7 linked regions of the Kluyveromyces lactis genome follow. The protein of the gene in region 1 purifies or fractionates together with the protein of each later gene. This does not show direct contact. Links are inferred from orthologs where the notes say so. Each region holds a gene or a part of one and is shown in the gene's direction. Other genes may lie near its edges. The genes, in order: NOG1, RSA4, SPB4, FPR3, BRX1, NOC2 and RRP15.

What was found.
Region 2: the proteins of NOG1 (region 1) and RSA4 purify together in Saccharomyces cerevisiae (affinity purification with mass spectrometry; 4 studies listed by BioGRID, with this or other methods). This does not show direct contact. The link is inferred for Kluyveromyces lactis from reciprocal best matches to the Saccharomyces cerevisiae genes NOG1 and RSA4.
Region 3: the proteins of NOG1 (region 1) and SPB4 purify together in Saccharomyces cerevisiae (affinity purification with mass spectrometry; 8 studies listed by BioGRID). This does not show direct contact. The link is inferred for Kluyveromyces lactis from reciprocal best matches to the Saccharomyces cerevisiae genes NOG1 and SPB4.
Region 4: the proteins of NOG1 (region 1) and FPR3 purify together in Saccharomyces cerevisiae (affinity purification with mass spectrometry; 3 studies listed by BioGRID). This does not show direct contact. The link is inferred for Kluyveromyces lactis from reciprocal best matches to the Saccharomyces cerevisiae genes NOG1 and FPR3.
Region 5: the proteins of NOG1 (region 1) and BRX1 purify together in Saccharomyces cerevisiae (affinity purification with mass spectrometry; 5 studies listed by BioGRID). This does not show direct contact. The link is inferred for Kluyveromyces lactis from reciprocal best matches to the Saccharomyces cerevisiae genes NOG1 and BRX1.
Region 6: the proteins of NOG1 (region 1) and NOC2 purify together in Saccharomyces cerevisiae (affinity purification with mass spectrometry; 8 studies listed by BioGRID, with this or other methods). This does not show direct contact. The link is inferred for Kluyveromyces lactis from reciprocal best matches to the Saccharomyces cerevisiae genes NOG1 and NOC2.
Region 7: the proteins of NOG1 (region 1) and RRP15 purify together in Saccharomyces cerevisiae (affinity purification with mass spectrometry; 3 studies listed by BioGRID). This does not show direct contact. The link is inferred for Kluyveromyces lactis from reciprocal best matches to the Saccharomyces cerevisiae genes NOG1 and RRP15.

The regions. Positions count from the first base shown.
Region 1 is NC_006041.1:2,149,928-2,154,551, reverse strand, and holds NOG1 (putative GTPase NOG1), read left to right. Parts: upstream 1-1,861; coding exon 1,862-3,793; downstream 3,794-4,624. Other genes in the region: FZO1 (mitofusin), read right to left, coding at 1-100; Sec63 complex subunit SEC62, read right to left, coding at 501-1,241. UniProt on the Saccharomyces cerevisiae protein: Involved in the biogenesis of the 60S ribosomal subunit.
Region 2 is NC_006039.1:748,085-752,518, forward strand, and holds RSA4 (Rsa4p), read left to right. Parts: upstream 1-1,652; coding exon 1,653-3,200; downstream 3,201-4,434. Other genes in the region: mitogen-activated protein kinase kinase kinase SSK2, read left to right, coding at 1-1,125; IMG2 (mitochondrial 54S ribosomal protein mL49), read left to right, coding at 3,487-4,020; ALG12 (dolichyl-P-Man:Man(7)GlcNAc(2)-PP-dolichol alpha-1,6-mannosyltransferase), read right to left, coding at 4,172-4,434. UniProt on the Saccharomyces cerevisiae protein: Involved in ribosome biogenesis. Required for processing and efficient intra-nuclear transport of pre-60S ribosomal subunits.
Region 3 is NC_006041.1:1,267,361-1,271,929, forward strand, and holds SPB4 (ATP-dependent RNA helicase SPB4), read left to right. Parts: upstream 1-1,540; coding exon 1,541-3,331; downstream 3,332-4,569. Other genes in the region: pseudouridine synthase DEG1, read right to left, coding at 1-1,160; ULA1 (Ula1p), read right to left, coding at 3,358-4,569. UniProt on the Saccharomyces cerevisiae protein: ATP-binding RNA helicase involved in the biogenesis of 60S ribosomal subunits. Binds 90S pre-ribosomal particles and dissociates from pre-60S ribosomal particles after processing of 27SB pre-rRNA.
Region 4 is NC_006038.1:420,774-424,754, reverse strand, and holds FPR3 (peptidylprolyl isomerase FPR3), read left to right. Parts: upstream 1-1,924; coding exon 1,925-3,181; downstream 3,182-3,981. Other genes in the region: RPL6A (60S ribosomal protein eL6), read left to right, coding at 135-143, 831-1,349. UniProt on the Saccharomyces cerevisiae protein: Proline isomerase that belongs to an abundant class of enzymes that catalyze the cis-trans isomerization of X-Pro peptide bonds and can accelerate the refolding of proline-containing polypeptides. Specifically binds nuclear localization sequences.
Region 5 is NC_006041.1:1,576,928-1,580,430, forward strand, and holds BRX1 (ribosome biogenesis protein BRX1), read left to right. Parts: upstream 1-1,806; coding exon 1,807-2,703; downstream 2,704-3,503. Other genes in the region: MDM20 (Mdm20p), read right to left, coding at 1-1,194. UniProt on the Saccharomyces cerevisiae protein: Required for biogenesis of the 60S ribosomal subunit.
Region 6 is NC_006042.1:101,935-106,887, reverse strand, and holds NOC2 (mRNA-binding ribosome synthesis protein NOC2), read left to right. Parts: upstream 1-1,984; coding exon 1,985-4,123; downstream 4,124-4,953. Other genes in the region: GEP3 (Gep3p), read right to left, coding at 1-1,719; MEI5 (Mei5p), read left to right, coding at 4,389-4,953. UniProt on the Saccharomyces cerevisiae protein: Involved in the intranuclear transport of ribosomal precursors.
Region 7 is NC_006038.1:956,567-960,131, reverse strand, and holds RRP15 (rRNA-processing protein RRP15), read left to right. Parts: upstream 1-1,727; coding exon 1,728-2,489; downstream 2,490-3,565. Other genes in the region: KAR3 (Kar3p), read right to left, coding at 1-1,147; PPT1 (protein serine/threonine phosphatase), read right to left, coding at 2,646-3,565. UniProt on the Saccharomyces cerevisiae protein: Constituent of pre-60S ribosomal particles. Required for large subunit rRNA maturation, in particular processing of the 27S pre-rRNA at the A3 and B1 sites to yield 5.8S and 25S rRNA.

The DNA.
Region 1 (4,624 bases):
ACTGATGTGATGAAATTTCAAACGGGGCATCGTTGCTCAACTCATCTTCATATTTAGAGCTTCTTCTATTAGAATTCTGCGATATTTCCTTCTGTGACATGTTGCAGAAGTTTGTAATATTGTGGTGCGGCCGTTCGCTCAGTTATAATACCTATACTAGGATTGGAAGCGAGTGGTATCCTGTTGGCATTATTTTTCTAACTGTTTGCAACTTCTGCTTTCATTACTGTTTTCATTACTGTTGCTGCGTTTTTCATTTTCTTACTTGACCTTAAATCAATTCATGCAAAATAAAACTTTAAAAGAAGGTGATTTCTAGTGTCAGAAACCAAAGATGTCACTACTGATATTAGTATGAGTACATATATCTATATTTATATATGTTTGTATGTTTATATGTGATATTAGTATGTGATTCTCACCGAAAGAATGAACATACACCTTCTGTGATAGTTAAATTGCTAATGTACAGTCTGGGATGGAAGTCCGTTACATTGAAGTTATTTTTGCTTCTTTGCAACTGATCTATGCTTTCTCTTTTCTTTCTTCAGGAAGCTATAGCATTCCTTTTCACCAAATCCATATAGCGGTTTGAAACTTTCTATAACACCGCAATCTTCGAACAAGTTTGGGAAGAGCCAGAACCCACCCTTCTCGCTAACTGCAGCTAATGACAACAAGTAAACTATCAATCTCACAATTGCAATACCAAAGAATACACCGATAAGTGCCAATGCTGCAATGGATAAGTAGTAAGTACCACGTTTCATATATGGAGGCCATAATGGGTAACACACGAATGCTAGCACACCGACTATGATACCGATCACAGTCAAGTAATCATAAATTGATTTTGGATTATAAGACCAGACGTAATATTCATCTGGTTGTAGAGTCGCTTTATTCGATAATAATAAGTTTGGATATGATTTGTTTGGCTTTAGACCATGTTCTTTACATTCTGCAGAATGTAATTTAACCGCTGGTACGACAAATTGGGCCTTGATTAAGGAAACAAAAATGTTACGAGCATCTTCATCGCTTGTCACAGCGGGGTACAATTCGGGTTGTTTTTTGGACTTTGCCTTATATTTATCACTTTTCAAAGCTCTAACAAATCTTTTATAACGGAAGAAGTCAACTAAACGCGATTGGAACAATCCTTGTCTTTGCTTCAAGTCGCTATGAGTCCTGAGTAGATTGGCAATGGCTATCGTAGATTGTGGGCTTGGTTCCGACATAGTAACGAAACAAATCTATATTTGAAGAGAAAAATTCAAAAAAAAAAGGCGGATAAGGCAATTCTACCGGAAATTAGGCAATTATCAGGTAGTGATTAGAAAGTTATAATGAATCTAGAGATTGGACTCAAGCTGTATTCTTTCAGATCAAAATCTCATTGATATTTCTGTATATATTGAAAGTTGAAACGTAAACCGTAAATAAAATGTTCACATACATTTTAACAGTAAAATATATTGTTACCCCGACAGTCTCAAAAGAAAGTGCTTTAGTCACGTGACATAACCAATGTGTATGCCTTTAACGGTCAATTCTGAGATCCATACGAAAAAGAAATCCTGAAAGCACAATTTTTTTTTTCTTTTCAAAGGTTTGCAGTAGTGGGAAAATTTTCCAAACGGCAAGCTCATCTCATCTCATCTCATCTCATTGTGCATTCGAAGTGATAGACAGAGCTTGATTATCAGTGTGACATCCGTTTGACAGGTAGTTTGAATAGATTGGAAGTTTGTTCAAACAACTAAGCATAGCTTAACTGCATTATTGCTAGTTTAATTGTTTTTTGTTGTCCCCGTGTGTGCGTGTATCCCAAAGTTTACGTCAAATCAATTAAGCAACAATGCAATTATCCTGGAAAGATATTCCGACCGTGGCTCCTGCCAATGACTTGTTGGACATTGTGTTGAACAGAACTCAAAGAAAGACACCTACTGTTATTAGACCAGGTTTCAATATCACTCGTATCAGAGCGTTTTACATGAGAAAGGTGAAGTTCACCGGTGAAGGGTTCGTGGAAAAATTTGATGATATTTTGAAAGGTTTCCCTAATATTAACGACGTGCATCCTTTCCATAGGGATTTGATGGATACTTTGTATGAAAAGAATCATTTCAAAGTTTCTTTGGCTGCTGTGAGTCGTGCTAAGACATTGGTCGAACAAGTTGAAAGAGATTACACAAGATTGTTAAAATTCGGTCAATCTCTTTTCCAATGTAAACAATTGAAGAGAGCCGCTCTTGGTAGAATGGCTACCATTGTGAAGAAGTTGAAGGATCCTTTAGTGTATTTGGAACAAGTTAGACAACATTTGGGTAGAATGCCATCCATCGACCCAAACACCAGAACTTTGTTGATTTGCGGTTATCCAAATGTGGGTAAATCCTCTTTCTTGAGATGTATCACTAAGGCTGATGTCGAAGTGCAACCTTATGCTTTCACCACCAAGTCGCTATATGTGGGTCATTTTGATTATAAATACTTGAGATTCCAAGCGATTGATACTCCAGGTATCTTGGATAGACCTACGGATGAAATGAACAACGTCGAAATGCAATCCATTTATGCTATTGCTCATTTGCGTTCTACTGTTATGTACTTCATGGATCTATCAGAACAGTGTGGTTTCTCTATTGAAGCTCAAGTCAAATTATTCCATTCGATCAAACCATTGTTTGCCAATAAATCCGTCATGGTCGTCATTAACAAGACTGATATCATTAAACCTGAAGATTTAGACGAAGAACGTAAGAAACTTTTGGATACTGTTTTGGAAGTTCCAGGTGTTGAAATCATGACCACTTCTTGTCATGAAGAAGATAACGTTATGGCTGTTAGAAACAAGGCTTGTGAAAAGTTGTTGGCTTCCAGAATTGAAAACAAGCTAAAATCTCAAGCTAGAATCACTAACGTCTTAAACAAGATCCACGTCGCTCAACCTCAAAAGCGTGATGATGGTATTGACAGAACTCCATATATTCCAGAAGCCATCGCTAAGATGAAGAAATATGATCCAGAAGATCCAAACAGAAGAAAATTGGCTAAAGAAATTGAAATCGAAAACGGTGGGGCCGGTGTATACAACGTTAATTTGAAGGACAAGTATCTATTGGAAGACGATGAATGGAAGAACGATGTCATGCCAGAAATCTTAGATGGTAAGAACGTTTATGACTTCTTGGATCCAGAAATCGCAATCAAATTACAAGCTTTAGAGGAAGAAGAAGAAAGATTAGAATCTGAAGGCTTCTATGAATCCGACGAAGAAGAAACTTACGAAGGATTTGATGCTGACGAAATCTCTGAGATCAGAGAAAAGGCAGAATGGATTAGAGATAGACAAAAGAAGATGATCAATGCTTCAAGAAACAGAAAGGCATTGAAGAACCGTGGTACCATGCCTCGTTCTAAATTGGCAAAGACATATGGTGACATGGAGAAGCACATGTCTTCTTTAGGTCACGATATGACTGCTTTGCAAGATAAGCAAAGAGTCGCTGCTGAAAAGAACAGATATGAGCAAACTGGTGCTGACGTGGTATACGGTGATCAAGAAGATTCTGCTCCAGCTGGTAAGCTAAGACAGACAGATAGATTGACAGACGGTGTTGCTGATGGTTCAATGAGATCGAAGGCTGAAAGAATGGCCAAATTAGAAAGAAGAGAAAGAAACAGAATGGCCAGAGCCGGTGAATCTGACAGACATGCTACTGCCTCTCTACCAAAACATTTGTTCTCAGGTAAGCGTGGTGTTGGTAAGACTGATTTCCGTTAAACTGTCTGTTCTTCCTTCCTTTCCATCACTGGTGATTTCGAACATATATTATCGTGTTGCCAATTTCTTTTCTATCTCTATTGAACTATATATATTAGTCACTACTTTCATTTATTTGTCTGCATTGGGTGGGTTAAATTTAATTATTACTCCTTTATTTGTAAAATAGTTACGTACTCTGTAAAATTATAAGAGTTATACCTTTGATTTGCTTTTCCTTGACCAAATAACCAACATCCCTCTGACCTCAGTAACAATTTTATCTTTGAAAGTTATTGACTAATCTTGAAGAATAAAAAGGATGAAAATTGTAGGATCTAAATAAAATAGAAAAAAAGGAAACACTGACATAAATATTTCACCAAAACAATCTCAGTATACCTGGAATATTTAACCGTCGACCAACATCATTTTGCTTGAGTTATATTTGATTGCCTCTATTATTTCTCTATCGGTTTATCAGGCGACAGTTTTTTTTTTCTCTCTCCTATGTGCCCTTAGTACAGGGCAAGAAAAAAAAGGACGGCTTCACAACACACATCTAGGTAGGCCTCTTTCACAAAAAATTGACTCTCAGTAACATATAAGCCATGAGATTTTAGCACTTGAAAGTACGGGTGACATAAAAGCTCCAATAAAACTCTACAAAACGATATATGCTCTTTGTATATGTCAATTGTAAAAGGTGCTTTCCGTCTGAAAAGTGTTCGTATGATTTTCGAAGAAAAATTCCCGGTGTCAGTTTTAAGATGTCACAAAATGAGCAAATAAGAGAGCATTGAGCTATAAAGACTCATATTGAAGGTAAAACAAGATATTCAGTTTTGCTCT
Region 2 (4,434 bases), on another chromosome or scaffold:
AGATCCAGAGAAGCTGAAAGGATTGATGCTCAACAAACAAGACCAAACTTTGATATCGATGATGCTGACGATGATATGATTTTGGCTGTTAATTCAGAGATGCGTATGAATGCAATAACAGATATGGAAAAGGTTGTCAAAGTCAAAAGGCATTATTCTGTTGGTAAAGTTATTGATGATACCGATAATCAAAGCAAATTGTTGAAATCTCTTGCTTCTTCAATATCTAACCTTTCTATTAGATGGCAAAAGCGTAGCTTTATCGGAAGTGGTAGCTTTGGTACTGTATATTCCGCTGTTAACCTAGATACTGGTGATATTTTAGCGGTAAAAGAGATCAAAATCCAAGATGCTAAATCCATGAAGCAAATTTTCCCATCTCTCAAAGAAGAAATGCGCGTCATGGAGATCTTAAATCACCCGAATATTGTTCAGTACTATGGTGTGGAAGTTCACAGAGACAAGGTTAATATCTTTATGGAATTCTGCGAGGGTTCCTCCTTAGCCAGTTTACTCGAACATGGCCGGATTGAAGATGAAATGGTAACTCAAGTTTACACACTACAATTACTTGAGGGATTGGCATGTTTGCACCAATCTGGAGTTGTGCACAGAGATATCAAACCGGAGAATATCTTATTGGATCGTAATGGCGTTATCAAATATGTAGATTTTGGTGCCGCAAAACTCATTGCAAAGAACGGATCAAAGAGGATATCACTGGATGCCAATAACAAATCTACAGGCGGGAAAGATATGATCGGAACACCGATGTATATGGCACCAGAAACGGTGACTGGTCAAGGACACGGAAAATTCGGATCCGATGATATATGGTCTTTAGGTTGTGTTGTACTGGAAATGGTGACCGGTAGACGTCCATGGGCTAACTTAGACAATGAATGGGCTATCATGTATCATGTTGCAGCTGGTCACCTTCCGCAATTCCCAACCAAGTCTGAAATTTCATCTGCGGGTAGAAAGTTCATAAGCAGATGCTTAATACAAGATGCCAATAAAAGAGCAACTGCAATGGAATTGTTACTTGATCCCTGGATTTCTCAAATACGTAACATTGCATTTGGTGGCAATGCAGAATCTTTTAATAATGAAACTCATAACTAGTTCTGATAGACATAAAAGTTTCCTCCCCATGACGATCATATGTAACAATTGTAACCATAGATTTTTTTTTTGTATAAGTATTGTATGTATATATAATAATAATAGGAACTTTTGTTTGACTTTTTTTTAAACAATGCCGGATCCGTATAGTATCAATGTAACATGCACTTTCCGTTATCTGTGAGTTGCTTGCCAGTAAGTAAATTGCAGTCTAGGAATTTTTTGTGCCTGATGCTCCCCATAAGGTATTCAGAGCATAGTTTCAACATAATAAAGATTTATATTACCCGGAAGTGGTGAACTAAAAGAAATTCTTAAGTTCAAGAAAATCTTTTGAGATGCCGATGAGATGAGATGAGATGAGCTTCAACTACCAAGTCGACTTCCCTAAAAAGGAGAAGGTTCTGGTGAACGATATTAGTATTCCAGCAATAATCACAGGTCTTTTCTCGAAAGAAGTTTTTAGGTAATTAAACGAGCCCAAAATAATTCTCTGAATTTGTTAGGCCAAGCAATCCAAACGAAACATGGCAACCTTACTCCCACCGCCTTCAAAGAAGCAAAGAAGAGAAGCTCAAGCTGAACGTGGAGTTGACCTTATTCCCAAAGACCTTCCAAATGTTCTCATTAAATTCCAAGCTTTTGACAGTGGTGAAACTGTTGGAGGTTCTCTAAGGGTTCCAGGTGGTATTTCGGAGCAGCAACTGGAGGAATTGTTGAATCAGTTAAATGGAGACTCGGCAGATCCTGTTCCATACACGTTTAGCTGTTTAGTTAGCAACAAAAAGAAGGATGCAGATGAGGAAATGGTAGATATTAGAGATAATCTATATCAATCCATTTTAAAACCAGGTTTGAAAACTACCGAAGATTTTTTGACTCTAGTGTATACCCCAAGAGCTATCTTCAAAGTAAAACCAGTAACTCGGTCGTCTTCTGCAATTGCTGGTCATGGCTCGACAATTTTGTGTTCTGCATTTGCTCCAAATACAAGCTCCAGGATGGTTACCGGTGCTGGTGACAATACTGCATGTATCTGGGATTGTGACACTCAAACGCGTATGTGCACGTTACAAGGCCATCACAACTGGGTCCTATGTTGTTCCTGGTCTCCAGATGGTGAATTAATCGCCACAGGTTCTATGGACAACACAATTAGATTATGGGAATCAAGCAAAGGTAAGCCTTATGGTGATGCTTTAAGAGGTCACTCGAAATGGATTACCTCCTTATCTTGGGAACCAATCCATCTTGTCAAACCTGGTGACAAACCGAGATTAGCAACTGCATCCAAGGATGGAACTATCAAAATCTGGGATACAACAAGAAGAGTTTGCCTTTTAACCTTATGTGGCCATACGTCTTCTGTTTCCTGTGTCAAGTGGGGTGGAAAAAATGTTCTATACAGTGGTTCTCACGATAAAACAATCAGATGCTGGGACATGAATTTGAACGGTAAATGTATCAATATCCTAAAATCACACGCCCATTGGGTTAATCATCTTTCACTTTCAACAGATTATGCATTAAGACTCGGTGCGTTCGATCACAAGGGCGAAACTCCTGCTTCACCTGAAGAAGCCCAACAGAAGGCTCTGAAAAATTACGAAAAAGTTGCTAAAAGAAAAGGTGACTTCGAAGAACTGATGGTAACTGCCAGTGACGATTTTACTATGTATCTGTGGAACCCCTTGAAGTCTACTAAACCTATTACCAGAATGACCGGCCACCAAAAGCTCGTCAACCACGTTGCATTTTCGCCAGATGGCCGTTACATTGTTTCTGCATCCTTTGACAACTCCATTAAATTATGGGATGGAAGGGATGGTAAATTCCTATCCACCTTTAGAGGACATGTAGCGAGTGTCTACCAAGTAGCTTGGTCAAGCGACTGTAGACTACTCGTTTCTTGTTCCAAAGATACCACTTTAAAAGTCTGGGATGTCAAAACTAGAAAACTGTCCGTCGATCTACCCGGTCATCAAGATGAAGTCTACACTGTAGATTGGTCTGTAGACGGTAAACGTGTATGTAGCGGTGGGAAAGATAAAATGGTCAGGATATGGACTCATTGAGTGGATCCACTGCATCTGAATAATTAGCATGATTAAATTATAGACTGCCTTATGTATGTTATAGCTTCTTTTACATTTATTATGAGGTGCACAGGTGTCCCTTCTTCTTACAAGCTGAAAATTTTGAAAAATTAAAGCTTCAAGCATAGTTGAAAAGATGAAGAACGATTCAGCCGGCATTTACCATAGGAAATCGATAAGTTATCTATATAGTAAGAAAGGTGTACACCGGGAAAACCTGCATAACCACACAACAGCCTACTAATAATACAACGGCTAGTTAATAATGCTTACAAGAGTTACAAGAAGTTTTGCGGCTATGAGCCCAAGATCATTTCGGATTTGTACTAGACTACAATCAACCCAAGCACAGCAACCACAACAACAGGAAAACTCAGAAATTGAGCTTTTAAATGAACTTAAATCAGAAATGGACAAATTGGGACCATTATCTGATGCCGAAAGTGCCGAACTCAGTGCTTTATTTGACAGTCAAAGTCCTTTTACAGTATTCCCAAAACTTGAAGACGTAAGCCCCGAGGAAGTAGTGGGAGCCGCTCCATTTGGGAAGAAAACATATTTCATTCAAAGAAGTATTAACGGAAATTTACCTGTGTACACTGACTACAAAAACAGCAATAAGATTGTCACCGAAATCAGAAAGATTCAAGGGGATCCTGTGCAGCTAAGAAACGATCTACAAGAAAGGCTTCCTTTCATTCCAAAGAAGTACTGGAAGGTGATACTTCAATCAAATAAAATTATCATTGAAGGTGATGCCACGAAGCACGTGAAGAGGGCTCTGGCTACCACCTTTTGAGCTTATTCCCATGACTTTAAAACTTACAGGAGATGCGTATGTAAATATTCTTACATGGTTGTTTCTTCCTGCATGTGATAAAAACTGTAAATAGTGTCAGTAATAATAAGATATATTAACGACTTAGATATATACATCGGGCATACTTGTATTACAAGATTGGGACTTTTTGGTACGTGTAGAAAACATCTTTCATAGCCAATGCATTGTCAAAGATCTCCTTGATGAAAGTAAAGTCTCTGCTTCTTTCCCAAGTGACATAAAGGTCAAGGCCATTAGCATACTGTTCAGTGAATGTTTTTACCAAATATTCAGTGTTGATACCTCCAAAACCCTGACTTTTGGATATTAATTCCCATCTGTTGCCGTCTTCGGTAGGGATTAAGGAAGAATTATCTATAGGTGTAATCAAAT
Region 3 (4,569 bases), about 880 kb from region 1:
ATTTTGGCCACTGAAGCCTTTAATCTATAGTTCAATTCTACAGAATTTACAACCGACGAGGAGCGCGATGCCTTATCAGTCGTTTGATCAGGTACTATCCACTCCATCGGCGAAAACTCACATTCGTAAAGAATTAGAGGAATATCGCTAGCCATTTCGTAAATTGGTTTTCTGGGCATCTTTTCTATATCCAACATTTCTTTGATTAGATTGGGATCTTCAAGACCTTGGCCAACGAGAAATAGATTAGCCACCATACACCTCACTTGATGCCACAAGAAAGCTGAACCTACCAAGTCAAAGCAGTACATGTCTTCGCTGACGTGCATGATATTTGAACTTTTAATTGTCCTCTTATAATTTGTAATCTGTTTTGAACCATCTAATTTGCAAAAGTTTCTGAAATCATGCTCACCTTCATAGTGTTTGGCTGCCAGTTGCATCCTTTCAAGATCCAAACCCTCTGAGCTGAACAAGTATTTGTAATGTCGACTTTTACAGCTGAATCTGGCATCAAAACCTTTTGGTGGCCGTAGGCAAACTGCAGATACTCTGATATCTTCTGGTAAAATCTGGTTTAAAATATTAACATATTGAATCTCCTTGTCGTCATAGCTGGGATCAAGCTGCTCTTCTGCAGTGAGATTCGAACGAACTCTCAATGAAATTACTTGATTCATGGCACTAACGCCTCTGTCTGTTCTTCCACATCTACTAAACTTATATTCTTGAGGAACCATGGACGGAACAAGTTTGCATTTATTCATGGTCTCTAATATCGTACCCTCGACAGTAGGTAAAGGAGTCGCATCTTTTTGAATTGCCAATCCGTTATAGTTCCATCCCAAATAAGCAAACTTGAAGGCGACAAACCGTGTGTTGTATTTGGAGAAGTCGAATTCCCTTGATTTCCTAGGTTTCTTGACGTTCTTTCTTCTCTCTGCTTCAACAGCAGCGTCCGCAGATCGCTTTTTTACCTCAGCCACGGTATCTGAGTTATTTCCTTTAGCATCACTACCATTTTCACTAGTATTTTCCAGCTGTAGCAATCGCTCAATCAACTGTTCCCTGGTCCAATTCTTATAAGCAGACTGGTCAGTGGACATTGCTGACACAGTGCCTTTACCATCTAGTTTGAAAAGTTTTGATAAAAATCCCATCCCAGTATATGTAGTCTTGAAAGAATTATATCACAAGGCTAATATAACTTCATAGAAGTTTAACAAATAGATCATATCAAACAAATTTGAATACAAATTGTTATGAATGGAACAACCATCGAGAACAACGCCGCATCAATGCCAATCAGCATTAAATGCAAGTTTGTACAGATTTAATGGAATTTTTTTTCTTTTCTATTGGGATGGCAGCTGGAAAGAAAAAAAATAAGTTCAAGCTCATCTCATCTCATCGGGAAAATGTATCCAGATTAAATCAGTGTGAACATATGCATACATTTGAAATCCAGGAGTAAGATTTGACCAACAAGGTATAAACTCACCACTCCAAAGCCTAGTCTAAAGTTTCGAACTGATACAAAATGTCGAAGTCGTTATCGTGGGACGATTTGAAATGCGAGATACAACCATGGATTAGAACGGCTATAGAATCGATGGGGTTTGAGACCATGACGCCAGTTCAAGCCTCAACTATTCCGTTGTTCTCTGGTAACAAGGATGTCGTGGTAGAATCTGTTACAGGATCTGGTAAGACTATAGCGTTCGTGATTCCAATTTTAGAAAGGTTGATAAAAGAAGAAGCCAATTCGGCCAAATTCAAGAAATCACATTTCCATTCGTTAATCATTTCACCAACCAGGGAATTAGCCAGTCAGATTCATGATGTGATAGAAGACTTTCTGAAGTATTATCCAGATAATCTGTACCCAATACGGTCGCAATTACTCGTCGGAACAAGTAGCGCTAGTGTTCGAGACGATATCAATAGTTTTACAGATAACAGACCCCAAATACTAGTTGGTACTCCTGGGAGAGTCCTAGATTTTTTGCAGAAGACTAATGTAAAGACTGCTTCCTGTGGTACCGTCGTGTTAGATGAAGCTGATAAGTTATTGGATTTGAATTTCCAGAAAGATGTAGAAACCATTTTAAAGATGTTGCCGAAGCAAAGAAGAACAGGGTTGTTTTCGGCAACAATCGAAAGTGCGGGTGCGCAAATCTTCAAAACAGGTATGAGAAATCCAGTGAAAGTTGCTGTGAAGTCTAACTCGAGCGCACCTTCATCTCTTTCGATAAACTATATCGTCATTCCACCTAAGGATAAATTACAACTATTGTTGACTCTACTCAACAACTACAGATTCAAGAAATGCATAGTTTACTTCCCGACATGTATCTCGGTCACATATTTTTACGCATTCATAAACCATTTGAAAGAGCTTAATTTGATTCAGGATGATCTAAAACTCTTCTCACTACACGGAAAGCTACAGACGCAATCGAGAATGAAGACGCTTGACAGTTTCACTTCTAACTTGACCGATGCCGTACTATTCACCACAGATGTTGCTGCTAGAGGGATAGACATACCAGATGTTGATCTAGTTATCCAACTTGATCCACCAACAGATGCAGATATATTCATTCACAGATGTGGTAGAACAGGTAGGGCTAATAGGATTGGTAAGGCACTTGTGTTTTTAAATGAAGGTAGAGAAGAAGATTACGTACCATTCCTGGAAGTGAAAAACGTCAAACTAGAAGAAGAATCTGTGGAACTGAAAGGCGTAGAGAATCTAACCAAAATATTCCACGATTGGATTTTACACGATAGAGCAAGATTCGATCACAGCGTAAGAGCATACGTTGCATTTATAAAATACTACTCAAAGCATACTGCATCATCGATCTTCAGATTCCACTCCATGGATTTCATCGGCGTTGCGAACTTTTACGGGTTGTTACGTCTGCCACGTATGCCCGAAATAACCAGGTATGCTGCCGACCAAATTCCGGAGGAAGGTTGGTTGGTATCACCACCAGTGAATTTAGACACATTTGCTTACTTAGATAAACAAAAGGAGAAGGCGAGGTTACAAGAATTACAAAACCTCAAGCAAATAAGCGATAAAAAGAAACTGAAAAGTGAGCTAAAGAAGAAGAACATGGCATGGTCCGATAAGACACTAACTAAAGAAGCCAAAGCTGAAAGAAGAGCAGCTATGGCCATCAAGAGGAAGGCAATTGAAGAGAAACTTCTGCGGGGCGATGAGGAATCAGAAGATGAAGTTGAGCAAGACTGGAAAGACCTTGTAAGACAAAACAAGAAAAAGAAGCATAACTCCATGCAAGGAAGTTTCGATGATTTATAGTCAATTACATATCGTAGATAAATCTATTATAATATAAATGTGCTTGTTTCATTCGAGTCCCCGTCATATAACAATGTGTTTTCAACCGGTACATATTGATGTGTCAATAATTTCACGCATTCTTGTGATACCATTGCACCAAGAATTGATGCCATCGCAGGGCTGACAAACGTTGTATCATGTCTATCGTTTTGTAGCGATAGCAACTTATTGAACTTCGGTTTTTCACTTATAGTTCTAGTTGCCGATGAGAGGCTACCCATTTTAATTGCATCCAAATGTTTTAAGTTCTCGAGCATTTTATCTATGAGTGGTTCAGGTATCAAACTATAATTCTCCTTTGCTAGAATGCGCATGATTTCTGATTTATCCTTGGCAGCTTTACGTTGATATACTGCTTTCTGCGCGTTGAATAGTTTAGTTGAGGATTCCATATCTGGAATGAATGCGGACACAGGTAAATCGCCTCTCAAATCGTAAAATATTCTGATGCATCGTACAAATTGGTATACCCATCGATTAATTGTAGAATTAGGTTCAGCATGAAAACTATTCAAGATGTTGGTCAAATTGTGAGGAAATGGTCCTGATTGATCGTATAACAGGAATGAGGACCTCTCTGCTTCCACAAAGTTCAAATCATTGGTCAAGGGTCCAGAGAGTATAGAATCGTGAAGTTCGATGAACTCTGCCCTCACTGATTTTCTATTGATAGGAATATTCTTTGACTTTAATGATTTTCCCACATTGTACAGTAGAACGGAATAAGGCAAGGAGGATACCTCTTCCTGTGACATATTTTTTACATCGAATGATTCGTGATATTCTGCTAGTTCAGGCCACATACGATTGAGTCTTAAATCGAAAGTGAAATGTCCATGAGAATCAATGACACAATGAGGTTCACTGCCTATAAGACGAACAAATCCCAAGTTATCGTTGGTGGATGCCATTATCAGAGGAACTGCTGAGAGTTTCATGACACGTTGTAACAACGGACCAGCCGTGCACAAACATATGACAATAGAGAAAGAGTTCCATAACTTATGTTGTGAATCAATTGGAACTGCATTCTCGTTCCAAATATGGAACGTAACATCTGGATTCATACTTTCTAACGCATCAAAACCTAAAATATCCGAGTTTGACTTGTTCACAAAATCTGATCCATTAGACGAGCCAAAAACTACAGTAATCTCATGAATACCCATGAGAGCCAAACTCTTGACACATTCTCG
Region 4 (3,981 bases), on another chromosome or scaffold:
TGTGTTGGAATCGAAGTTTCGATTCATTTCACTAAACAAAAAAGTATTGAAATTCGGTATATGAATGTAAAGTAACATTTGTATTCTATATAATCATATAGCAAGAACATCAAGCACACAGATATATCAACAAGATGGCTCAAGTATGTGGGAAACAAGTGCTATATCCATACCCTGGAGAAATTACGAAAGAAAAGGATTGACTCAGCGATCATGACGACGAAATATAGTAATTGGCGACATCTATTGGCAATATAAAATGTAATGAATGAATTAACACCATAGCATAAATGAGAACAGTCTGGACCAGATGCTGTTCGATTCCAGTAATGTACAAGTGGGATATCTTAATTCGAAGTTTTAACGATTGCAGGAAGAGACTTCATATGATAACTGGATTCATGAGATAAAGGAATATATTTAACGGATCTCACGACTGAGAATTATGGGAACAATTTAAACAAGTACACAAACCAAGGTTCGCAGACTGGAAGAAATATACGGTCGGAACTATAAGAAATAAAAATATGTGATACTTTAAATATTCAGTGTTGGTTTATGGATATTTGTATCATAGATGACTAACATCATGCTAATCCATCTCCTGTTCTTTTAATATTTTCTATGGGTTTTTCGTTATTGCCTATTTTATGGAGAAGAAGTTAACATGTTTTCATCCATTACTCTTAGTTTTGTTACATACAGCCGAACTCATGTGAGATAATGGAATTGAAACTGTGGGTTTCCTTCTCTATACACGGGCATAACTCGATAAAATATTGTTTTCAGTTTTACTAACAACGAATTTTTCAATTCAATTTTCAATACAGGCTCAAAAGTGGTATCCAGCTGAAGAAGTCCCAGCTCCAAAGCAAACCAGAAAGGCCGCTAGACCACAAAAGTTGCGTGCCTCCTTGGTCCCAGGTACCGTCTTGATTTTGTTGGCTGGTCGTTTCAGAGGTAAGAGAGTTGTCTACTTGAAGCACTTGGAAGACAACACCTTGTTGGTTTCCGGTCCATTCAAGGTTAACGGTGTTCCATTGAGAAGAGTCAACGCTCGTTACGTCATTGCTACCTCTACCAGAGTCTCCTTGGAAGGTGTTAACACTGAAAAGTTCAACGTCGCTTACTTCTCCAGAGAAAAGTTGTCAAGAAAGCAAAGAGCTGAAGCCAACTTCTTCAACGAAGACCAACCAAAGAAGGAAATCAAGGCTGAAAGAATCGAAGACCAAAAGAACATCGATAAGGCTTTGTTGGCTGAAATCAAGAAGACCCCATTGTTGAAGCAATACTTGGCTGCTACTTTCTCTTTGAAGAACGGTGACAGACCTCACTTGTTGAAATTCTAAGAAAGCGAAAAACAATTCAAAACTTTAAGCTACTTTGTTATATAATATTAACATAACTTTTATATCTTAAGGGTGTATTAAATCCCTTTCTAGTGTTTGCAACGTCGTCATCCCCACAACCTTATTCTATAAGGACAATTGATTGTAACAATTGGTTTGAACTACTTTTGCCTAAGAGTCTCTGCTATATATTCATGACTGTTTTGCAGACACACCAGTTAACACTATAACCAACGTGTGTACCCTGTCTGACGACCCTTTCGAACGATGTATTTCAATATGTCTTGTACCCTAAGCGGAGGTCGATAAAACTCATCACGTGCAGAAAAGAAACGTCGAATCTTCTCTACATAAAGTTCGTTTCTTTTGGAAAATTTTCAGAATTTGGAATAGTTAAGGTTGTGAAAGAAATAAGAGATGGACGCCATATAAGAGAGATGAGATGAGATGAATTACATTAGGTAGAGTCTTCTTGAGTGGAAGAACCTTTTTCATAGAGGTTTAGTTCGTATATTTTTTTGTAGACATATACCCACAGATTAAGAAAACTCTCATTCTAACTGAATAGCATAACAATGTCTGACCTATTACCTTTAGCTGCTTACAATTTGAACATCGAGCCATACACTCCAACCCCGGCCATTGATGTTACCACGCCTGTTACCGTGCGTATCACCATGGCTGCTATCGATCCAGAAGCTTTGGATGATGAGAAGAACCCATCTACTTTGAGAATTATCAAGAGAAACCCAGACTACGACGATGAAGATGATGCTGGTGGTTTGTTGGGTGATTACGACGAAGATGAATTAGACATTTCCGAAGAGGAAGAAGAAGAGGAGGAAAAGTCAAAGTCTAAGAAGGGTAAGGGTAAGGGTAAGTCCAAGAAGCAAGAAGAGGAAGAGGAAGAGGAAGAGGAAGATGAAGATGAAGGCGATGAAGAACTTATCGAAATTGACACCGATGACGAATTCCAAGAATTCGTCCTAGCGACTTTGTCACCAAAGACTCAATATCAACAATCTTTGGATATTGTAATTGCTCCAGAAGAAGAAGTTCAATTCATTGTTACTGGTTCTTACCGTGTTTCTCTAACCGGTAACTATGTCAAGCACCCATTCGATGCACCAGGTTACGATGACGAAGATGACGATGAAGAAGACGATGAAAGCTACGATGAAGATGAAGACGACTATCTAACCCCGGATGAAGAAGCTGATCTGGAAGAGTTAGAAGATGCTAGCGACGTTGAAGCTAAGATCCAAGAGCTTGTCGAAAAAGAACAATCTAAGTCTAAGAAGAACAACAAGAGAAAGCAACCAGAACCAGAAGAGGAAGAGGAAGAGGAAGAGGAAGAGGAAGAGGAACAAAAGCTAGTTGAAGAAACTAAAAAGAACAAGAAGGCTAAGAAAGAAAAGAAGGTTGAATTCAAGAAAGACCTAGAAGAAGGACCAACCAAGAAAGAAGAAAAGAAGGAAGAAAAGAAAGAAAAGCCAAAGACCAAGGTGCTTGAAGGTGGTATCATCATCGAAGACCGTGTCACTGGTAAGGGTAAGGCTTGCAAGAAGGGCTCCAAGGTCGGTATGAGATACATTGGTAAGCTAAAGAATGGTAAGGTCTTTGACAAGAACACCAGCGGTAAACCATTCGTTTTCAACTTGGGCCGTGGTGAAGTCATCAAAGGTTGGGATATCGGTGTTGCCGGTATGGCCGTCGGTGGTGAACGTAGAATCGTCATCCCTGCTCCATATGCGTACGGTAAACAAGCTCTTCCAGGTATTCCAGCTAACTCCGAATTGACTTTCGACGTTAAGTTGGTCTCTTTGAAATAAATGGAAAAGGATATATAATCGGCATACATATTACTCCTTCATAAATACTTACTTTAAATCAAAAAAATAACATTCTGAAAGGTGACAGTTGACGTTCCCAATGGAGAAAATGCTCTCACTCACAAATTTCTTGGTTTTGATATCTTAGATAGGCTTACTTCTCATTTTTTATAAAATCTCAACGAACTTGAAACTAAACTAGCCCTAAAACAAACCACATTTTAAGGAGAAGGAAAGGACGAAGACACCAGAAGTTGGTCAAACAACAATAATTTACGGACATTCTGATTTACATCCTTATTGACTGCAACCTGTTAAGGCGATTAGTGAACTGAAGGTTAATTGAAAGAGACTATAACTACCGTTTTGCGTGCAATTTGTAATAATTCTATTCTGAAACAGGAAATTTTTGTGAGCTAGCCGCTGAAGATTAAAACAGCAAACAAAAACAATAAAGGAAGGGAACAAAAAACCCGCTCCAATTGTGCACATAGTTAATCTCTAACTGGAACAGTCGACGTCAGTAGTTACCAGTGTAACATATCGAACTGAACAATAAACTGGAATATCTAGGTGACATAACAGTATTAGGTCACGTTACTTATAAAATACAAAAAAAAAGAAAAATTAGGTGTAATTCTCTGCTACTTACTAATTTAGTGCTCGTGGCTAATCTATTCATACCCAGCAGCCGAGTCGAAACATTTTATCGCGTCAGAGCTTTTCCTACAACCAACAGTTTCGGTGTTTTCGCTTATCAGTATTTGCACTGAATTTTTCTAACAATATTTTACGCGTCG
Region 5 (3,503 bases), about 570 kb from region 1:
GGAGTCTTGGCATAGGTCTTTCACGATTTCAAGGATGAAATACGAGCAGTTAGAGTAATCTGTCTTTGGCTTTGTTGACAAAGATTCCTTATGTTTCAAGAACAATTCCAAATTATCACCTTTGCCGAACAATTGAGCAACAGCTTTGTCGTGTATCAGCCCCGAAGGCAGCTTTGAAAACATGGTCTCGATTTTCACTGGGTTCAATTCCAAGCTATGAAGATCGATTGGACAACTAGGTTTATCATGATATTTCTCGATGAACTGAAACAGGTAGTGATCTAGCCTATCGTCATAAAGTTTTGCTGCTGCGACTCTTGCTAGTATGTAATTTCTCGTATTCTTGATTTCCAAAACTTCCAATAACTCATCGAATGACTTGCCAAGTTTGTAACTTGCATCTATAATCTTTTGCAAAATACCATAATCGTCAAGGTTATTCAATAACGAGATTCCATGTTTCCAAATGAGTTTATAATCGTCTAATTTCACCAAATGGCCCATAAGGAAGTTTTTCAAATAAAGGTCTAAGTAAGTACCATGTTTCCAAAACTTGAGGATCTCGTCCACGATCTCCTGTGATTTATCCTCAAACAATTCACAAACTTTACAGAAAACGATCAACTCTTGCTCATTCTCAAAAGGTTTCAAATCGCTTGTCAATTTATATGTCAACTTAGGTAAAAGATCCAATTCCCTTTCGTTAATGTTATCTTTATCCAACTGAAACCATACTACAGTAGCAATACTGTTCCAGAATTGGAACAATCTCGATTTCGATTTTTCATTGACTCGTGGCATCTGGAAACTACTCTTACTCAAATGTCTCCAATTTAAATCCCTCAATGACTCCAAGAACCAATCATAACATGTCTCCGAATTACCGTATTTCATCATTGCTCTTTCATAAGGTTCCAATGCACTGGTGGTGTCAAAACCTAATTCCAACAAAAATCGATGGCACATTGATAGCGATTTCGCATCGCTTGGAGGAGATTTGGCATCCAAGATCAACTTTAACCCATTTTCAAAACTATATTTCGCAGGAGATTGCCTGTACTTGACATATTGCTCTAACACTTTGTAATAAGTGGCGGATGGGTACCGTTTCTGCAATGATGCAACAAACTGTGAAGCTTTCTTAAACAGTTCCCTATCTAATAGCTGAAAAAGCTGATGATCTTCAGAGTTCATATCAACAGTTTCCACTCTTCGTGTTGGTCGATATCAAATCTAACAGATCAAACAGCAACGAACACCGTTACTGCCAGACATACCGGGTTGTTCTACGAACGACGTGCGTATGAGGTTGTTCATTAGAAGTTTGAATGCTGAATTAAGCCAATATCGTAATTTTTCAGTCTTGATTACCCGGATAATAAACTATAACTGTATGTGTATCCATAAATGTAAACGGCACAGCCTAACAAGGGCATCAGCGCTCTTACTGCTTGAAATATAAACGCAAGACCTCACCATACAATCCCCACCCGCGTTGAATCTGATAGAAGCCAGTTGGCAGACGATACGAACATTTTCTTTTCGAGAAACTATCCTTTTCTATTTTAAATCATCACTGATGAGCCTTAGTTTCTTTTTCGGTACATTGAAAATTTTTGAAAAGTTAGAAAAGGCGATGAGATGAGATGAGATGAGATGAGATGAGATGAGAAGAGGTATTGAACAAGGTTGTCCTGATCCTTCCAATCTATACATCGTCGGTCTAAACACTTTGAGATTATTGTATTACACTTGAGTAGTTGGAAGGAAGAAAAAGCCAAGAACTGCTAAGCAAATCCTTCTATAATGTCGAGTATTTTCAAGACTTTGTCTCGTAAGGATAAAGACGGTAAGAAGAACAAAAATAATGCGGCTAACAGTGACAGTAATGAGAAACAGTTCATGAATAAGCAACGTACCTTACTTATTACGTCCAGAGGTGTTACTTATAGACATCGTCATTTGGTTCAGGATTTGAACAGTCTTCTACCACATTCGAGAAAGGAACCTAAGTTGGACACGAAGAAGGATCTAGGACAATTGAATGAGATTGCGGAATTGTACAACTGTAATAACATTATATTCTTTGAAGCTAGAAAGCACCAGGATTTGTACCTATGGCTATCAAAGCCACCAAATGGACCAACAATCAAGTTTTATTTGCAGAACCTACATACCATGGACGAATTAAACTTCACTGGCAACTGTTTGAAGGGATCCAGACCAATATTGTCATTTGATGGTAGATTTGATTCTGAACCGCACTACCGTTTAATTAAAGAACTTTTTATCCATAACTTCGGTGTACCACCTCAAGCTAGAAAGTCCAAGCCATTCATTGACCATATCATGTCTTTCAGTATAGTTGACGAAAAGATCTGGGTAAGAACGTATGAGATCTCGCATGAAGCTAGGAACAACGTTGAATATGAGGATAAAGAAGAAGATGAAACGTCGTTAGTTGAAATTGGCCCACGTTTCGTGATGACACCGATTTTGATCCTTGAAGGTTCATTTGGTGGTCCAAAGATCTACGAAAACAGACAATACGTATCGCCAAACTTCGTTAGATCTCAAATTAAACAACAGGCTGCCAAGGAAGCTAAGACCAGAGCCGAAGCTGCTGTTGAAAGGAAACTAAAGAAGAGAGAAAGTGTCTTGGCTGTAGATCCATTATCCAACGATGCATTGTTCAAAGATTAAAGTACAATCCAGAACTCTAGAAAAAATCATGATTTATATATTGTCAACTTAGGAGAACGGCGTTCTTCCTGCTCAGACTTGTACATATGTATACTCCTATATATATGCTTTTGAATGGGCTGTTTTTGATAATATAATTTTTCGTTTTATTCCTAACTATACTATACGTTAAAGTCGTACATGAATATTTAATTTATTTAGTTAACTTGGGGGGCCAGAATACCAGTTAAACTTGAAGCGTCATGAAACGTCATGGGGAAAACGTTTTTACATTTGGTGTGAACCACAGTGTGCTGTTTGAAATGTTTTTTTTATCATTTGTTTGAATTTTAATAGATTTATTAATATTTTACTTGCCCAATGCCATTGCATTCTTCTATTCCCCAAATACGAAGATGTTATGCGTAGTAATAACAAATCATACTGTATAATTTTCAGGAAACGTGAATTGAACAGTCAAGTGGGTAGAATTAATAAGGAAGTAAAAATGTCCTGACTTTTATCTTTAGTGCTTTTCAGCGTTGGCAGTATGCTTTTCCAAGTAAGCCTTGATGAAATCTTCCTCACCCTTAGAGGAAGTAGAGTATAATGGCTTGGCTGGTTGCTTAGACTTGAATGGGTTTGGAATAACCAACAATAATACAGCACCTAAAGTCCCTAGGGCCAATTGATGTGGTTGAACAGTTCTACCCAAAATTGTGTATGCAGCACTCATCGTATATCAAATTATTTTCTTGGTCTATATTCTAACAGAGTGAATCTCGAACAAAGGTGTATAGGATACCACTAATAACGCATCT
Region 6 (4,953 bases), on another chromosome or scaffold:
ATCTTTTGAAGTCCTATTGATGTACATTTCTCTCATTCTGGCAAATGTATCTTCTTCGGTATGGTTCATAATATAGGTGTCTGAAATTAGTGGACGATCGGTTGGACAAACATCGGCGATGTCTCCACTTTCAATATACTTTTCATAGCTTTTTGATATCAATTTTGATAACGGTTCTCTAATGCATACCCTGATACCTTTAGGGACCCAGAGTTCATAAAGACCATTGAAACCATATTTTCCAGTAGGTTTAACTTGAAAATATCCGATATCTTTTAGAACAATTTCGATTGCTCCATTAAATGGAGGAATTACGTGCCTATCAAACATCTTAATGTCAGTAAATGGTTTCTTGAGAGCAAAAAATTGGCGAAGTGAATGATTTTCTGACTGTAGCACCTCTAGAGATAAGCTAACAGCCTTTTCGACATTTGAAAACTCATGCTCCGGAAGAGGAATGTAATTAACCACCTGATTTATAGTGGAATTTGGTGGAACAAGATGAAAAATTCCTCCAAAAGACAGGCATTTACCAGTTTTTGAACCCGTCAAAGAGGTGTAATTTTGTTTTATCAGTTTATCAATCTTAAACTTTGAGGTTTTCCTTATGTTATCAAGCGTTTCCTTCTCGATATAATTCGCTAGATCGGATACTTTAGTAGGATCCATTGTATACCCTGGTAAATCGTTCACAACTTTATCTTCTATCAAATAAGTTTGCATGGTTCTGGTAAAGTTGGGAATATGTGATACTCCACCTTCATTGAAGATGGCCCTACGGCGAGTACTTTGTATTTGTTCGTGGCCTTTTGGAGGACCAATAACGTTGCCTCTCTTATCAAGTTGAGCTTGGAAACTTGTTGATTTTTCATGGAGCAAAGAATTAATGAGAGACGTTTTCCCAACGTTAGGATTACCCAATAAATAGCATCTTTTAGCCAAAGCATTTATCACTGATGGAATATTCCAATTTCTTGGGTTAGAGAACAATACTACTTTCTTAACATGTACGCCTATATGACGTCTACAAAATTCCGCAAAAAAAGCACTCCCTTTATGTGGTAGCATTGATGACTTGTATGTGATCTGATCAGCCTTTGAAAGTAGTAAATAGTTTCTATTATTCTTTTCTGCCAGGATAGTTTTGTCTAATGACAAGGGAAAGTCAGACAAAGACACAACGTGGTATACGTTTGCAGCATGCGGCAAAGCGCCCTTTATATCGTTGAAAGAATGAATTGGAAAATCAGATGAGTTGTACCTGTTATGACTTATAGCATCGACACATCTTTTACAAACCAATCTTTTGGGAATAGGTTCTTTATAATCTGGATCGGTGTCTGGATCAAGTAGCCCGATTTCATGTTTTTTTAGCTGAAGTTCTTGTGTGAACATTAAATACTTCAAATCTTCAATGGTGCCAGCATCTTTCCTGACAGCGCGAGGAGGCTTATAGTAGCCTGTCACAGAAGGATTCTTGGATTGCAACTCAACACCACAGCTTTTGCATGATACAAACCGAGTAAACTGCTTAAAAGCTTGGAGCCGTGATTTCATAAAAGGTAATACTACTACTATTTTCTGATGCATATACCTCAGTACTCTTATCAATAACGGCTCAAAACTGTTGCATCTCTCGACATTCTGTTTGCAGTTTGTTGCATCTTTTGTCGATACCTTTCCAAGCATGTCAATTACCATATTACTTGCACTATTCATCGATGTCAAGGCGATGCCATTACCCGGATACAAAAAGAAACGCCATGAAAAGTTTTCCAAATATCCAAACCAAAATTCAATCCGATGAGATGAGATGAGATGAGATGAGATGAGATGCCCCAAGAAGAGATATAGAGAAACTTTAACGCAGCTCTAACAACTTAACCAGTAGTCGCTCTAGATAATCTTCTTGAAATCATATTGTTGATCAAAGGCATAATCTTGGGACCTGTTACCTATTGATAAAGGGATCAAGAATTACACAATGGGTAAAGTTTCAAAAGCTACTAAAAAGTTTCAGACGAAACACTTGAAGCATACGTTGGACCATAGAAAGAAGTTAAAAGATCATTCTAAGAGAACCGCCGGTCGTAGGGGTAATAAGACAGAAGAAGAAAAGAATGCAGCTGCGTTGACCAAAGAAGATCAAAAGTTGAAGAAGTCCGCTAAGGAAGAAGTCTTCAACGACATGAAGGTTGAAGAGTTCTTCGACAATGGGTTCGATATTCCAAAAATGTCAAAGAAAATGGCTAAAGAAACCGAAAAAGCATCAAAGGTGAAAGATAATGATTCAGAGTCTTCTGCCGAAGAAGATGAAGATGTTAAAATGGATATGGAAGATTTGGCAAAGAAGGATCCTGATTTCTACAAATATTTGGCAGAGAACGAACCAGATCTTTTGTCTTTCAAATCTACCAATCCTCTAGATGAAATATCAGATGACGAAGAAGGGCAAGTGGGTGAAGAAGAAGAACTGAAAGAACCTGATTTATCAAAGTCCAAGAAGGAGGAAAAAGATAGCAAAATTGCCGTCGACATAAAGCTCGTAAATAAATGGAAGAAGGATTTAAAAAATAGCCCATCTTTCAAAACTATCAGAAGTGTGGTTTCAGCTTTTAAAGCTGCTGTGAACATGAACAACGAGGAAAATGTAGACGATTACAAGTTCACAGTTCTTGATGAAAAAGCCTTCCACGAGTTAATGTTCGTTGCCCTTGTGGATATGCCAAAAGCCGTCCAAAAATTGACACCTTATAGGGTCAGTAAGAATGAAACCAGAACTCTCCCATCAAATAAAAATGTTACAAAATTGTCCTCTGTTTTGAAATCGCACGTTCCATCTCTTATCGTTCTCCTAAGTGACATCACAAACACAGACGTCGCTTCAATGATTTTGCATTCTACCTATGAGCTATTACCATACTTTATTTCATTTAGAAGATTACTAAAAGAATTAATTTCTCAAGTCGTCGAAGTTTGGTCCACTACTGGAGACGTTGAAACTCAAATTGCCACATTCGCGTTTTTGAACAATGCCTCTCGTGAATATAAGAAAGCTTTATTAGAAGTTGTATTGAAGTCCACGTATTCTACTTTCATTAAAAGTTGTCGTAAAACTAACATCAGAAACATGCCTCTAATCAATTTCCAAAAGAACTCTGCTGCTGAACTTTTCGGTATTGATGACGTTATAAGTTATCAATCGGGTTTCGAATATATCAGACAACTAGCCATTCACTTGAGAAACAGTATCAATGCCACAACTAAGAGGTCCTCAAAGGTGGACCCATCAAGTGCTTACAAGATTGTATATAACTGGCAGTTCTGTCACTCTTTGGACTTCTGGTCTCGTGTTATATCCATCCAATGTAACCCAGAAAAGGAAAACGGCCACGAATCCCCTCTTAGACAATTGATTTACCCACTAGTCCAAGTTACCATTGGTGTCATTAGATTGATTCCAACAGCACAATTTTTCCCATTGAGATTTTATTTGATCAGATCCTTGATCAGATTATCTCAAAACACTGGTATCTTCATTCCAGTTTACCCATTATTATCTGAGATTCTCTCCTCTACTGCATTCACAAAGAAACCTAGAAAGTCAACGTTACCTGCATTTGACTTTGATCATAACATCAAGTGTACACAAGCATACTTGGGGACAAAAATATACCAAGACGGGCTAGCTGAGCAATTTGTAGATTTGCTAGGTGAGTACTTTGTTCTATACTCCAGAAGCGTTTCATTCCCAGAATTAACAACGCTTGCCGTTATCTCATTACGTCGTTATATCAAGAATTCTGAGAATGTAAAGTTTAACAAGATGTTGCAAAACGTGGTAGATAAAATCAACCAAAACGCTCAATTCATTACAAAGAAGAGATCAGATGTAGACTTCGGACCAAACAACAGAACAGAAGTAGAAAAATTCTTAAATGAAATATCGTGGAAAGATACTCCTCTTGGTTCCTGGGTTGCTATCCAAAATGAGGTTAAGGAAGAAAAGGCCAGACTCTTAAGAGAATCCTTGGAATCTGACGATGATGAAGAAGAAGAAAATATTTCTGACGGAGCCCAAGACATAGTAATGGATGATGCTGAATCTGAAGCAGATGAATAATCAAATGATTGTATGATAAGTTCAAACTTTCTTCAATTTTAAATTCATTGGTAATCCTATGTCTTCGACCATCTTATATTGGATTGCCTCCTTGTCAAAGACATCGGCGGTAAATTTCATGAAAATAGAAATTACATTATGTAAATTATTTTAAACATGTATACTCAACATTACATTCAGAATACAAAGCTCGGGAGTACAATCTGCGGTAGGCATAACTTGACCAAGTGGAATAATTCTTATACCAGTACTCATTACAGGCGTTATGTCGAATGTCATGAATTTTGAAGGTGATAGTGAAACAACCTTAGTTCAAGAGAATGATTCATTTAGTGATATCTTGCCCAAGTTATCTTGCAGAAACCCTGAAGAAAGATCTACGGGTAGTGTGTTACTTTTAAAGGAGATCCGGAGGTTAGAGAACGATCTTGATCGACAAATACGAGATCTTACGAAGAAAGAGTTTGCTTTGAAAAGGGCAGTGAAAATAATGCAAACTTACGACAACGAACTCAAGACTATCGAATTAATAAATAAATGGAGGTCTATATGTCAATGTGGGATGTCTTACATGTTGAATACCATATTGGTTAAAATTGATCGAATGGGCGGTTATCAAGAGTATAAGCGGAAAGAAATAGAGGCAAGAAAGCGCCAAGTTGAGTATCAATACGATGACGGCATTCAACAACAAATGGAAGAGATCTTGGAATCTCCGGACTTCTTTCATTTGCCAATTGAAGAAAAGGAAGAAATCAGGGAACGGATGGATGAGAAAGTGAGAGAAGCAGAAGAAATGAAACAGAACGAACTCCAGAAATTTGAGAATG
Region 7 (3,565 bases), on another chromosome or scaffold:
TAGATACATGAATGTGCGATATATCCTGCACTTCGTTTTCTAAAGGCGGTCTTATTCTACAGTATACTCTGATATTTCCTCGCAGCTCCTGTAGTTCATTATGAAGCTTACGACGCATTGTCTCCTCTTTTATCAGTATTTCATTGATTTGTAAAAGTTCGTTTTTGGAATTAGTGATATACTCATTGAGTTCTTTCCGTTGACTGATAGTTTGCTCTATTTCTTCTTCGACAGTGTCTATTTGCACAGTAATAGATTCCTTGAATACATTCTTCTCATTAAGCTTCTCTTCCAATTTTGCTAGCTCCTTTTCTAAAATGTTACGTTTGTCTTTAGATTGATCCAATTCATTAGTCATGTCATTTTCTATATCTTGACTTAACTTGTTGATATCCTTAATCATGGACTGATTAGCTTCTGTGATATTCTTCCATTCCGTCTGAAACTCTACCATCCACTTCTCTTTAAGATTTGAGTATTTCTTATCAAGTTCTTCCTTTAATTGGTTAATGACATTGTCATTATTATTTACCTCATCGTTTAAGTTATGTATGTCCTTCAATAAATGTTCCTTTTCTTGTTTAAACTTTTGAATCTTTTCAAATTCAATCTGCTGCACTTCAAATTTGAATTTCGACTCTGTTTCATTCATTTCACAGTGGTATTTTCCCTCTATCTTCTTTATTTCTAGATCAAATCCGTTTCTCATAAACTCTAACTTCAATTCATGATCTTGATCCATGCTATTCAATTCATTCTGCTTTAACCCGATTTGTCGTACTTTCACTTGTTTCTCCTCTTTCAAATTGTTCATTTTGAACTCTACAGTTTCCACTTTGCTTTTCAACGAGTTCATCTCATCCTGTGCGGTATTCAACTTGATCTTTTTTCTGGACAACTCTTCTTGCAATCTATTCAGTTCTTTCAGGTTTTCTTTGTAAAAGAATGTCATATGAGTTGAGCTTCTATTTTCAGTACTGGGCGTGAGAGACCTTCTTCTGTTTATACTCTGTACATCTTCTGGATTCAATCTTATCGACTGCCTTGGTTTGTATTTTGGTGAACTTGAACCCTGCTGGGTTGGAGAAGGTATATTAGAACCGTCCTTCGATGAACATCTTTCTGGCGTTGACGGCGGTCCATTCATATTCCGTTTGATTATCAGCCAACCAGTTTAATTTAGTCAAACCCACTACCTTATTACACGTCTTTTCCAAAGCGGTACTGGTTTATATACGTTCTTCAATTGCTATGTCTCCTTTGGTGTTTCAAGATTGTTTTGTTTTCGGTTGATCTTATTATTTGTTTACATCTTTACTAGTATATGTGACATATTTCGAAACTGAACCGGCTTCAGTACACAACAAACCTTCTTTGGGTAGCTTGAACAAGTAGAGGAACCATTACAGATACACCACACTCCAATAAACCCAACAGTCGGGGAACCACAGGCTAGTAAGAGAGTTCAGCTTCAAGTTTCTTATGACGGCGGCTCCACCAACGTCAAATTTGCAGTGGTGTATGGGTGTGTTGATAGAATGTATTTCTTTTTGTTAGTGAACATGCCAAAAAAAATTTCAGTGAAGCACAACTCATCTCATCGCTTTCAAGACTGTATCTGGGCCTTTAGGATCCATCATTGAATTCACACTATCTCAATAGAAGGTTAACTTGCCGGTAGATTGTGCAGTGGACAGCTTTGTATTGTATAGCCGCCTGAAAATACTATGAGTAGCAAGGGTAAAGTGACAATACCTGTCACCAAAAAGAGCAAGTTGAATGACAAGTCTGCAAAGATCAGGGCTCAAACGAAAGTCAAAGAGAATGAAGTATCACAATTGGCTGATGAAGTAGATTCTGATGTGGATTCTGAAGGCAGTACAGGTTCCGAAATAGATAACGATGAAATGGATCTAAATGAAGTGTCGAGTGATGACGCCAGTGATGAAGACAGTGACGATGAAGATGTGGTGAACCAACCAGATGACGATGACTTCCCAAGAAAGAAGAAGTCTTCCAAATCCAAACACGATGATGGATCATCCACATTTTCCAGCGCGTTAACCAATATTTTATCATCGCATTTGAAAGCATACGACCGTAAAGATCCCATTATGGCTAGGAATAAGAAAGTTTTAAAGCAAAATGAAGCAGATAAGTTAGAGCAAAAGGCTAAGAGAGCTATACTCACAGAGAAGAAACAACTACTCAATAAGACTAGAAAGAAAGATATTATACCTGTTGTGGCTGCAGACGCAAACTCGGATGAAATTAGAGAAATTCTTGAGAAGGAACGTAAACTAAGAAAGATTGCCCAGAAAGGTGTTGTGAAGTTATTCAATGCAATTCTCTCTACTCAGGTTAAGACTGAAAAGGAAATCAATGACTCATTGGGTGGTGTGAAGAACCGTTCAGAGAGAAAAGAGTTGATAACGGAGGTTTCCAAGGAGAAGTTCTTTGATTTGGTGAAAACTGCTGGTGACAGTTGAAAAGAGGAAGTTCTATATGATAGAGGGAATCATCTGCATTTATTAAAGCGCAAAACTATGTACATATATAGGTAATCCCAAAGACTGTATAATAGACTAATAATATTATTAATTACAACTTTATCGAAAAAAGATCAGATCAGGTCAGATGAGGGATCAAAATCCTAACCCTCCATTTGAATATGCCATTGGTTTAATATCTGGATGTGGTGAAGCAGAGAAAGTTTCTATTACCAAGTCGCTGTCGATAGATGATTTCTTTTCAGATTTTGTGTTTGGAACAACATGAATGATTGCACCGAGGTTGCCACCGGCGTCACAGTAGTTAGGAGCACTGAAAACAGTGACCAATTGATTCTCATGCTCAAATTCGTAACCGCCTTGTCTAACTTCATGAGACCTGAAGATTCGCTTTAAATTATTCTGTTTCAAGAACTTTCTAGTAATGTCAGGCCCAAACGCATTACTTAAGCCACGAGGAGATGGTCCAAATCCATCCGGAGCCTGTGGATCCGCCCATAATAACTCCATAAATGTTCCCTCTCTTGGTGGTTGGTGGAATCTATCAATTTTCTTCATATCTTCTACAGTGGCAGAAGTATCACTTGGCAAACCACCATGCACGACCAGGTATGAACTATTGATGACAGTGGCTAATGGTAGAGATTCGAAGCTTTGTGAGAAAAGATCGAAAATGCGCTGGGAGTACTTGTATTTGCATTCGTCTTCAAACCCGTACACTTTATTCATGCTGTTGGTTTCATGATTACCTCTGTTCAAGTAAATGTTCTGTGGATACACGATTTTCAAAGAATAGAATAAAATGGCCACTTCACAAGACCATGATCCACGGTCTACGAAATCACCATTGAATAAATATACATTGGAGCCGCCTACTTTCCCATAACTTTTGAAGATGTTCAGAACATCATAAAATTGACCATGCGTGTCACCACATACAGAAATTCTTGTATCCGGCTTTTCTCTGTTATCAAGTTCAACAACACTGTTTTCTTGCTTGAACAAATAGTCTGCATGAGAAATGATCGCTGCAACGTAAGCCTTTGGAAGCTTTT